Macaca fascicularis: one gene and its partners. The protein of the gene in region 3 interacts with the protein of the main gene of each other region in a biochemical or structural test. Links are inferred from orthologs where the notes say so. Each region holds a gene or a part of one and is shown on either strand. Other genes may lie near its edges. The genes, in order: CSN2, LATS1 and HTRA2.

What was found.
Region 1: of the proteins of HTRA2 (region 3) and CSN2, one has a biochemical effect on the other in vitro, tested with the Homo sapiens proteins (2 studies listed by BioGRID). The link is inferred for Macaca fascicularis from reciprocal best matches to the Homo sapiens genes HTRA2 and CSN2.
Region 2: the proteins of HTRA2 (region 3) and LATS1 form a complex in vitro, tested with the Homo sapiens proteins (2 studies listed by BioGRID, with this or other methods). The link is inferred for Macaca fascicularis from reciprocal best matches to the Homo sapiens genes HTRA2 and LATS1.

Annotation. Positions count from the first base shown.
Region 1 is NC_088379.1:63,990,462-63,994,212, forward strand, and holds the start of CSN2 (beta-casein), read left to right. Parts: upstream 1-950; 5' UTR 951-998; intron 999-3,202; 5' UTR 3,203-3,214; coding exon 3,215-3,265; intron 3,266-3,751. UniProt on the Homo sapiens protein: Important role in determination of the surface properties of the casein micelles.
Region 2 is NC_088378.1:57,703,361-57,707,111, reverse strand, and holds the start of LATS1 (serine/threonine-protein kinase LATS1), read left to right. Parts: upstream 1-1,263; 5' UTR 1,264-1,494; intron 1,495-3,751. UniProt on the Homo sapiens protein: Negative regulator of YAP1 in the Hippo signaling pathway that plays a pivotal role in organ size control and tumor suppression by restricting proliferation and promoting apoptosis.
Region 3 is NC_088387.1:47,414,482-47,418,232, reverse strand, and holds the start of HTRA2 (serine protease HTRA2, mitochondrial), read left to right. Parts: upstream 1-975; 5' UTR 976-1,018; coding exon 1,019-1,524; intron 1,525-1,625; coding exon 1,626-1,830; intron 1,831-1,919; coding exon 1,920-2,114; intron 2,115-2,349; coding exon 2,350-2,382; intron 2,383-2,607; coding exon 2,608-2,713; intron 2,714-2,842; coding exon 2,843-2,912; intron 2,913-3,601; coding exon 3,602-3,697; intron 3,698-3,751. Other genes in the region: lipid droplet-regulating VLDL assembly factor AUP1, read right to left, coding at 1-297, 377-514, 595-644.

The DNA of each region.
Region 1 (3,751 bases), on a different chromosome or scaffold from region 3:
ACCAGAATCACATGTAGTCAGACAACCTGGGTCCAAATGATATCTTTGCCATTAACAATATAGTTTTGAGCAAGTTACTTAATCTTTTGGCATCTCTGTTTTCTCAACCTAAGTATGGAGAGGAGAGCTACCTCATGATGTTCTTGTGAAGATTATACAAGATAACGTCTTTGCTTAGTGCTTGGCAAAGGGTTAGAACTAAGTAAAAAATAACCATCATTAATATTATCATAATTATGCTTGACATGAAAAGAGATAATCAATATTAAAAGGTAAATAAAACTCTGTGATACTTTGCAAAATTTTTATTACAGATTTACTGAAGATTTTGCCTTTACTAGCCACCCAGATTCCTTCTTTGAGTTGTTTCATTACAGAGGAAAGTTTATTTATCTTGTGTATAAAATATTTGTTTTAACTAAATAATTTATATATTTTTTCCAAATCAAGTGGCCCTGGGAGAAAAACAGTTTGCCTCAAATAACAGTTTGCCATCACGGACTTGTTATCTTGTCAGTTTTTCATTTCAACATAAAGCACTGACAACTGCTCAGGTTCACATGAAACTGTGGCCTTTGTGAAGCCCTGTGTATCTCTAGCGTTCACACACAATTTTCCCACAACTGAAATCTCAAGGCCCCACTAAGCCCTAAAGAGATCTAATTATGTCCATAATAACTTGGGGACAGGGCCAGAGGGTCACTGTCCTCCAGTCATTGTCTGTTGTTATTGAACAGTTGCATTTCCTGGACAGGTTTCCTTTATCAACTTGTGAATTGTTCCCTTGTTACAATGATCCCCAGAATTTGTGGGGACATATAATAGGCAGAAATCATTTTCTAATCATGTGGACTTCTTGGAATTAAAGCTCACTGTTGATCTTATTTCAAACCACAAAATTAGCATGTCGTTAAATATTGTATATAAACAGCCACAGAAGCTGATAGACCATCATCTGTCCAGCACTACCTTCACTTCTCTTCAATCTTGGAAAAACGGTAAGAATTTTAGATACGGATTTGTTGTATCTTCTCCTAACCACGTATTTCAAAGTAGCTTGAGCTATAGAAAAAACATAGTTGCTTAAAATATAGTGTTTGAAATAAAAGTATTTAAGGTAGTACTGAAATTATTTTTAACACTTAGGCTAAAAAAGATAGAAGTGCCCAGAAGAATTTGGTAAAAAAATTGCAATGACGTATAGCCTTCACGAGTTTAAGAAAATGTAATAACTAATTTTATGCATATGTATATTTAGTATGAGGCTAGTTCATAGTTAATATTAAAAGGAGATTCATTTTTGAATTAATCTTCCAATTTGATTTAGCATATCACAGCCATAAAAAGAAATATACTTAGATTACAGTGTGGGTAGATAAATAATTACTGGAAAAGCTTTATCCAACAGGTAGTTTACAGCAGTAGCATACTGAGTCAAGAAATAGAGGGAATGGTTTGAGGGCATTTACTACTTTAAATATTTATAAACAATGTTTTCAGAAGAGTTTACTCATCAAACTTGTCTAGAGCCTCAAATTTCCCAGTTTATTATCTACTTTGTAACATTTCAGAACAATATTAAAATGAGACAGAAATACAGAATTAAGTTAAAAAGAAACAATGTGATTTACTTTGTAAGAAAATTCTTAATGGGGTAGAGAAGACTTGGAAACCATAAACAAAGATAATAGATGATATAAAAGAAAATAGCTCAGAGCGTACCAGTCGATAAAGAAACTCTGACTTAAAAATTAGTATATAGTATATTTATAGTATATAAATTAGTATAAAAATTAGTATAATTGGTATTAGTATATATTAGTATATTTGTATATAAAATTAGTATAGTAATTATATATTAGCATATAAAATTAGTATATATTAGTCGATTAGTAATAAAATTAGTAAAGTTTATAAGCAGATTACTTATAAAATATAGAAAATGCTGTGGGATCCTCCCTAAGTGCAATTATATACAAAATAGAGTGCTATATTCTTTTTCTGAACCCCGACATAAAAAATTTGGAAACTTATGGAGGTCTTAGGCAAAGCAAAATTAATAAAAAAATATTTAACATTCATAAAAAATCTAGAAAAAAATTTATTTTCCATAATAGAGAGAATTATGTTCAACTTTCAAATATTGAAAAGAACATTTTTCAAATAAATTAGAGACTTTTTTCATGAAGTATTTTTAGTTCAAAAATTGAGTTTCAAAATCTGAAAATGAAGATTTGAGTGTCAAGTAATATTGTGGCATAAACATTATTTTGGAATTAAAAAAATGTAAGAACACATAACAAGGAGATGATTTCGTATATTTTGGTCATAAATGTTAACATATATTTCACAAGAAGAGGTAGTCCCAAGCTGGACAGTGGGCAAGAGGTCCTGACTCCTTGGCAGATCATCAAGAGACCTTTGTGTACATTTTAATACAGAGAAGAGAAGAAGCCTAGTGTATAATCTCTAAAGTCATGGGGCATAAAGGAGAACAGATATTATTAGCTATGTGGGGAAGATGGATATAAACAGAGAAGAAACAAACTTTATAGTCCAACAATTCTCTGGATAGTGACACAAATAAGGAAAGTGTTAAAATGAAAATCTCAGTCTTATTGGAAATGAGGAGAAATAATTAAACTAAAATATTCATGGTAACCGTTTAGTGAAAATAAAAATATAAAAATAAAATGTGACTTTTTTGTACACATTTTCTTGATTAGTCTCTTCCAGTAGAACTGAGGCTCCATCAGGGAGTAATATCAGGACTGTAATATTTTGCTCATTGCTGCAGTCCTGGTCCCTAGACAGTGTCTGGCAAGAACAGATTCTAAGGAAATATTTTTATATTAATGAATAAATCTTTCCATATATATTTATAACTTCTTTATGCCTTTTGAAAAATCAATACTGCAAATGGGACGTTTTTAAAAGTGGGGATGAGTTGTTAGCTGAAATATCTGAATAGTTGGCAATGAAGTTTGGAATTTGATAAATGAGAATAGCAAGCCAGAATAGATTTTGACCTGAGTCATATGATATAACTTCTATTTAGTATTTATTCTATTTATTTTCTAAAATGTAGACATTTTTGTCATACATTATCTCTCTTTTTTATAAAAAGTAACCTTACCTAACTAAATAAGAAATATATCCAATTAACCAATCTATCACTATTCAATTTTTTCTCCATTCACAGGACTTAGTAGCCATGAAGGTCATCATTCTTGCCTGCCTGGTGGCTCTTGCTCTTGCAAGGGAGGTATGTGCACAAGAAAAAATTCATAAAAATCAAGAAATAGTGGACTATATGCCTATTTGTAGAGAATAACATCACCAACATTTTTTACTGTATAATAAAGAAGAATTTCATGAAAATTATCTTGACTTCTATCAAAATCATTTATATTTACCCACTGTCTCAACAGTTTCCTATAGTGCTCCAAATGCTTCCGACACCAATGTGCTGCTAGTCACTAAAGAAAAAGCAAACAAATCAATAAGTAATAAAAAATCATAAAAATGGCAACAAATACATGCATAAATAACTCCACAGATGCTCAACCTAGATAAACATATCTTATTCCAGTCATAAAATGTATATATATCTTATAGCCTAGGGCACTGGGTCCAAGTCTGTCTATACAAAGGCATCCATAGGATGAAGTACAGACACAATCATAATCCTAATCATACATTCATAATAATATAGTAAAAATATTTAATACAAATTAAAGTGACTCAACCA
Region 2 (3,751 bases), on a different chromosome or scaffold from region 3:
GTGACCCACCTTGGGTCACATTGTCTACCTTATACAAACTCTGTGCTTGTAGAAAATAGGCTTTCAACCAAATATTCTTGGAACATAATCTTTTTTTTTTTTTTTTTTTTTTTTTTTGAGACGGAGTCTCACTCTGTTGCCCAGGCTGGAGTGCAGTGGCGCAATTTCGGCTCACTGCAAACTCCACCTCCTGGGTTCACGCCATTCTCCTGCCTCAGCCTCCCAAGTAGTTGGGACTACAGGCGCCCGCCACCACGCCCGGCTAATTTTTTTATTTTTAGTAGAGACGGGGTTTCACCGTGTTAGCCAGGATGGTCTCGATCTGCTGACCTTGTGATCCACCCGCCTTGGCCTCCCAAAGTGCTGGGATTACAGGCGTGAGCCACCGCGCCCGGCCGGAACATATTTTACCAGGTTTTCACATTTGGATTTCTGGATACAGTAAGTAGCCAGTTACTACTTTAACGTCAGAAAAAGATGTCTTTAATTTTTTTATAGTCTGTAGTAGAAAACTTACGAAAGAAGGTACTTAAAAACGCCAGCTGTATATTTCCTAGAGGAAAAACTGGCAAGGGCGCTCTTCACAAAGGGTAGACGGTACTTTATACATCAAACCCAACGATCCGGTCTCACACTTTACATTCAGTTTAACCATAAGTAAAACCTCTTGTCACACCGTCACCGTTACTCCAATTATGGCAATAACGACCTCCTTCTACGGATGCGGTTGACAGATAAGATCTCTAAACTGCTGCTAATCAATCGGTCCTGGCTCAAGAATTTCTTATCTGCCTGATTCAGAAAATACAGATGGTGGAAGCTCACAGGCTTGTTCGGGGAAAGAACGCTAAGCAAGAATAAAATTTTATTTCAAAGCGCCAAAAATCTCGAATTCTGAGGTCCCACAGCAAGGTTTCCCAGAGCGACTCACAGTTGTTCCCTTGTGAGAACGTAGCTCCGTGAAATGCGCATCCCTACTCGGTCCAGAGAAATAGATCAATGGGAAAAAGGATTGAATCAACAGGAGAGAGCCTTAACCCACGGCCGCGGGTGAGTCGTCTGGGCAGGGGCAGGCGGGAGCAAAGTGGGGCGACGCTCACGAACGATCAGAGCGGCGGGCGACGCAACGAGGCCCGGAGGCCGCTGGCTGTGCGCTCCCTCGCAGCAGCCGGGCGGGCAGAAGCCCCCAGTCCTCGGCCCCCGCGCAAGCGACGCCGGGAAATGCCCACATCCGGGAAACCTGCAGCGGAGTGCGGCGGCGGCGACACTGAGTGGAAGGCAAAATGGCGGCGGCGGCAGTGTCCTGGTGTTAAGGGGAGAGCCAGGTCCTCGCGACCCCCGCGACGGGTCGCGCTGGCCCGCGGCAGCCGGCCCGCTCCTCTCCCCGCTCTGCCCCACCAGGGATACTTGGGGTTGCTGGGACGGGCTCCGGCCGCCTCGGCGTCCGCCCTCAGGCCCGTGGCTGCTGTCCAGGAGCTCTGCTCTCCCCTCCAGGTAGGTCCCGGGCCGGCGTAGCGGGTGCTCTCCTCCCTTGCTCGAGTTGGCGGGGCGGTGGCCGCCGGGGCCCACGCCCATCCCCGCTGGCGAGGGTCCAGAGGTTGCTGTGGACTGGCGGACAGAGCCGGCCCGCTCCGGGCCTGACTTGGCTGGTTGCATTGACCCGAGCTGAGCCCTGCCCTGGGGAAGCGAGGGTTGGCCGCGCCCGGTGCTGCAGGAAGAGCCCCAGGCTTTTCGGCCTCGAAGGTGCAGGTTTGGCTGGGTAGAGCCTGTCTTGCTGGCTGCCTTGCGCCGACGGTCTCCCACCCCACCCCCAACACGCTAGTCGGCGGTGTCCAGGAGGGAAGGAACGGGAAAGGTGGTTCTGAAGGAAAATTGCAGTAAAAGGGCTACAGTTCTTTGAATCCTAGAGGGCCGTGATCCTGGGTATACCTTGGAGAAATCCTTGGAGTCTCTTCTGTCTAGTTCAGTGTGATTTTAGGTTACTGTTCTTAGTTGAAAGTGGTGGGAAAGATGGAGAAGTCTTTATGGAGTAGCAGTGTGTATATAAATACAGCAAATGAAAGAACGACAATTAAGGGAACAGTGACTCTCAGATGACTTGATTTATCACTGTTCTGACTTCTCTGTCAATTTCTAAGGGAACAAAATTTAATGTTTGCCAACTCATATGTTAATACGACTTTTAAAACATGTCCTCCAGAAGTTATTCATAAATCTAGTGAACAATAAGTATAATCTCATGCACAGAAGTATATTGTATAACTCCAGTTTTGGAAATGGATTTGAATGTTAGCGATCATGAAACTTGTCAGACCTTTATGAATTATTTATTGAAGGTTAAAATTTTTTATCAAATTTCCTCCATGAGGAAGAAAAGCTAGGACATTATAATTGGAATGAATGTTCTCTGCTACGAAAACGAAGCTTATCTCTGACGGTAAAGTAGGGTAGTTGATTCCCTAAGGCAGTGGAGGAATTTGATTGAACAGTAAAAGAAGTAGCACTGTGTTAGTCCAGTTGGCTGCTACTGCAAGAAACTAGATCATGGTCCATGCTTGGAATGGTGCATTCTGTGCCTAAATATTGATTAAATATGTCTTGCTGCTCACCAAAAAATACTTCTACTACATTTTTAATGTATAATATCTGGCTTTCATTGTATGGGTCGTTTTTATTTTTGTTTTGTTTTTATTGCAAGTCCTTGTTGTTCTGTGTAAATAGTCTTTGGAACGGTTCTAACCCTGGTTGTTTAGTTATTTTAGATGTTTTATTTATATTAATGGGAGATTGTTATACATCACAAAAGTTAATTAGTCATTGAATAACATTTTCGCCAAGTAGAAACAGCAATCATTTTTCAGCATGAAGATACAGTGTTGCTTTCACTTTTGATCTGACAATTATTAGAAAGTGAACTGAAGAAAATATCAGTATGCAGTTTCCTTTAAAGATGGGAACTCGCTATCTTGCCTGTGCTGGATTCCAACTCCTGGGCTCCAGCAATCCTCCACCACAGCCTCTCAAGTAGCTGGGACTACAGGTGCACTACTGCACCCAGCCAGGGTACTTTTCTGATAAACTTAATTCAACCCAAGTTAACACTTTGAAATCTTATGTAATGGTACCATTTTTTTCCCCTAAGTTGGACAAACTAATCAGTGATACTTGTTTGTTGATGTTTGTATTTTTGATGAGGGTCTGAACTTTTTTTTAAAAAAAATGGCGATTTGTCATACCCAGGCAGTTTGATTCCAGAGCTCTTACTTTAACCATGAGGTTAAAAGTCATTGAAAGTTATGGAGTAGGTAGGTGACATGATCAGAATTGTTTATTAAGATGAATCTGGCCCCATTGTAGTGTGGGTTAAAAAGGTGAACAGTTTTGCTTTGAATAATTATTTTAAAAATTCTCTTTGCCTAGTAATAATTTGAATTTTCACATGACATAGCAGCAAAGATTATTGAGATTTAGTAATGCCAGTATTAACCATACCTTGTTGTGGGGATTATAAAATTAGTATAACTTTCTAGAAGGCAGTCTGACAATAAATATTAGAATTTTAAATAAGTATTCTCTTTGATCCAGCAATTCCACTTCTGGGAATTTATTTTAAGGAAAATGCTCAGCAATGTGTGCACAAGAATTTTTATTGCAGCAATTTTTTTTTTTGTTCACAATTTTTGTTATGTGCAAGGAATAGGCTATATATATTATATATATGTTCATTTTATTAAACTATGAAGCATAATAA
Region 3 (3,751 bases):
ATGAAAAAAAATGACATGTGGGGTAGAGGATCGGGGTTAGGGGTAAGGCTCAGTATCCTCCATGGGGAACGCGAGTGGGACAGGGGGGCCTTCAGCTGGGCCCCAGGGAACCGCCCCGTGGCGCTCTCGGCCTCGCTCTCACTCACGGTGCTACAGGTGGTGAGCAAATTGACTATGTTGTGGTCGAAAGGTGTCACGTGGTTGGAAATGAGGACCCTGACACTGTGATCCCGGAGTCCGGAGTCCTCCTGCCGGGCCACGAGCCCCAGCACCGCACACATGGTCCGCACTACGAACCTGGGGACACAGGCGGTGGTGACTGTGTGGCCTCGGGCCAGGCCCAGCTTTGACACTCCCCAAACGCCCGCGTCAGAACCTGCGAAGGACGCTGTCTGGCAGCGCGCAGCTGACCAGGAAGACGTGAATCCCGAGAAAGAGGCGCAGGACGAGGAGGCAGAACCCGACCGGCGCGTAGAGCAGCAGCGCGAGCAGCAGGAAGCAGTCACCCGGGAGCCTGGGGGCGAGAGGCGAAGTGGTCGGGCGCCGAAGGCCGAGAGGACGCAGGGGTAGGTCTCTTCCCGCCGGGTCTCTTACCGGTGCGAGTCAAAGAGCCGCTCCGGCCCCGGCCCTGAGGGAAGCTCCATAACTGCTGCTTCAGGAGCGCCCAGCCGTCGCCGCCGCCATCTTCGCGCCCGGCCGCAGGGGCTCCTGGGAAGGCGGAGTCTTTGGGCATCCGCCCGGGGTGACAGGACCCGAAGTCTTGAGGCGCGCCGGAAGGGCTAGCGGTCCCAGCATACCCTGCGGCCCCTTGGGCCGTCTCACAACTCGCGTCCCACGGAGACCACAATTCCCGGCATTCGCGGGACGGGGAGGAGTCGGCCTCCCGGAATCCTGGTCCCGACGTGCACTTCTGGAGGACTTCAGGTACCGGCGTGCCCCGCGTCCTACTGTCCGCCTGCTCGCGTCCCGGGTGCCGCCTCTGAGTAGGGCGGGCGAGGAGGCAGCCGAGGCGGAGCTGATGGCTGCGCCGAGGGCGGGGCGGGGTGCAGGCTGGAGCCTTCGGGCATGGCGGGCTTTGGGGGGCATTCGCTGGGGGAGGAGACCCCGGTTGACCCCTGACCTCCGGGCCCTGCTGACGTCAGGAACTTCTGACCCCCGGGCCCGAGTGACTTATGGGACCCCCAGTCTCTGGGCCCGGTTGTGTGTTGGGGTCCCTGAACCCCGAGCATGTCTGACGTCTGGGACCCCGGGTCCCCGGGCACAACTGACTGCGGTGACCCCAGATACCAGGACCCGGGAGGCCTCAGAGAACTCTGGAACCCGTTCGCGCGCGTGGCTGGCTGTGGCACTGGGCGCTGGGGGGGCAGTGCTGTTGTTGTTGTGGGGCGGGGGTCGGGGTCCTCCGGCCGTCCTCGCCGCCGTCCCTGGCCCGCCGCCCGCTTCTCCCCGGAGTCAGTACAACTTCATCGCAGATGTGGTGGAGAAGACAGCACCTGCCGTGGTCTATATCGAGATCCTGGACCGGTAATGGGGGTAGACCGGGAGGCACTGAAGCCACGGGCCGGAGGGCGGGCAGGTAGGAGGGGTCAGGGCCTCCTCATATCCGTGCTTTCCCTCCATTCCAGGCACCCTTTCTTGGGCCGTGAAGTCCCTATCTCGAACGGCTCAGGATTCGTGGTGGCTGCCGATGGGCTCATTGTCACCAACGCCCATGTGGTGGCTGATCGGCGCAGAGTCCGTGTGAGACTGCTTAGCGGCGACACGTATGAGGCCGTGGTCACAGCTGTGGATCCCGTGGCAGACATCGCAACGCTGAGGATTCAGACTAAGGTGGGGGCTGGGGTAGGCCAGGTCTGGTTGGAGCTGCTTGTTTGCTCGCATCTCCAGATGACAGGTCTCTTATACCCATTCTCCCTTAGGAGCCTCTCCCCACGCTGCCTCTGGGACGCTCAGCTGATGTCCGGCAAGGGGAGTTTGTTGTTGCCATGGGAAGTCCCTTTGCACTGCAGAACACGATCACATCCGGCATTGTTAGCTCTGCTCAGCGTCCAGCCAGAGACCTGGGACTCCCCCAAACCAATGTGGAATACATTCAGACGGATGCAGCTATTGATGTGCGTCCTGATAGGAGAGAAATGACACATGATGGGGGAGTGGGGAGAGGCTGTGTGGTACAAGCACCAACTGATATATGGTGGATGAGCCTATATACAGAGCTTAGGCTGCAAAAATGTGGCCACTCATTCATGGGCTGAGAAAGAAGAGAATTTGGAGAAAGTACCTACATCCTGGTATGCCCCCAGACTTAGAATCCTCAGATCTCTTTCATGTTTTCTCCTTGTCCTGCAGTTTGGGAACTCTGGAGGTCCCCTGGTTAACCTGGTGAGTGAGACATCCTTCCTTCCAAGAATCCCAGCCCCAGGTCTGTGTGGGAAGGGTAGGTTTTCCCTAATTCAAGGATGTTTGGTCAAGTTTCTGAGCAGTTCTTTGTTGGCTATCTCTCAACATCCAACTGGATCTCCCCAACACTTGCTGCTACTTTTGTTCGGGTGCCCCCATCCCCTACTATTTGTTTGGGCTAGGGAACTGGGGGATGTATCCCTGCAGGATGGAGAGGTGATTGGAGTGAACACCATGAAGGTCACAGCTGGAATCTCCTTTGCCATCCCTTCTGATCGCCTTCGAGAGTTTCTGCATCGTGGGGAAAAGAAGAGTGAGCCTGGCTTATGGGGAAATACGGGAGGGGCATTCATTGGGACTTCCTGGAGGGTGGTCTATTGGGAGAAGAGGGCAGGGAAGGAAGGATGTAGCTGGGTGGGGCTTATTTGTCCCTCTGTCACAGATTCCTCCTCTGGAATCAGTGGGTCCCAGCGGCGCTACATTGGGGTGATGATGCTGACCCTGAGTCCCAGGTATGAGCTTTAGGGATAGTGACATGTAATGTGACCAGTGTAATCAGAGGTGGGCACCTCTATTGAGCTTTGTTCTCATTTCTGTCTTTATCTAAAATGAACTGTGTCACACTTGAAATAATCACAAGAGCTGTCTCCCTTCATCATCTTGACTTTCTTATTCCACTCCACTTTGTACACCTGTCAGACTGATTTCATCCTGTTACTGCTTTGATTTCAAGCCTTCAATCCATTAACTTGGCATTTAAGGGCATTTTCCATCTGTCTGTAAATCAACTTTCTAGACCTGGCTGTAATACCTTCCTATATGAATACTCAGCCAACCTGATTTCCTACTCCCATGTTTTTTATTTATGCTGTTCTTGTTTTATATGGTTAATATTGGACCCATCCTTTTAGGCTCAGCTTAAGTTTTTTCCCCTTAAAGCTTCTTTTAGTACTCTAGAATGACATTAGTGCTATTGATTTCATACTGTTTGTCATTTGGTGCCCTCATGTGGTGTACATCTTTTATGTACATGTTGCACTTTATTGCTAGAAGACAGAAAGTGAGTTGCCGTTGTATTTTGTAGTACCTAGCGCATGTCCTGTCCATCTATTTGCCAATGTGTTGATGAGAGACTTGAGGTGGAACTCAGGATGGGGAGAATGCCTGGGTTTGGCTAATAGGGTGATCTGTGTACTTTCAGCATCCTTGCTGAACTACAGCTTCGAGAACCAAGCTTTCCTGATGTTCAGCATGGTGTACTCATCCATAAAGTCATCCTGGGCTCCCCTGCACACCGGTGAGGGAGAGGCTGCAGTGTGATATGGGGATGGGTGAGGTGTGCATGTGTCCT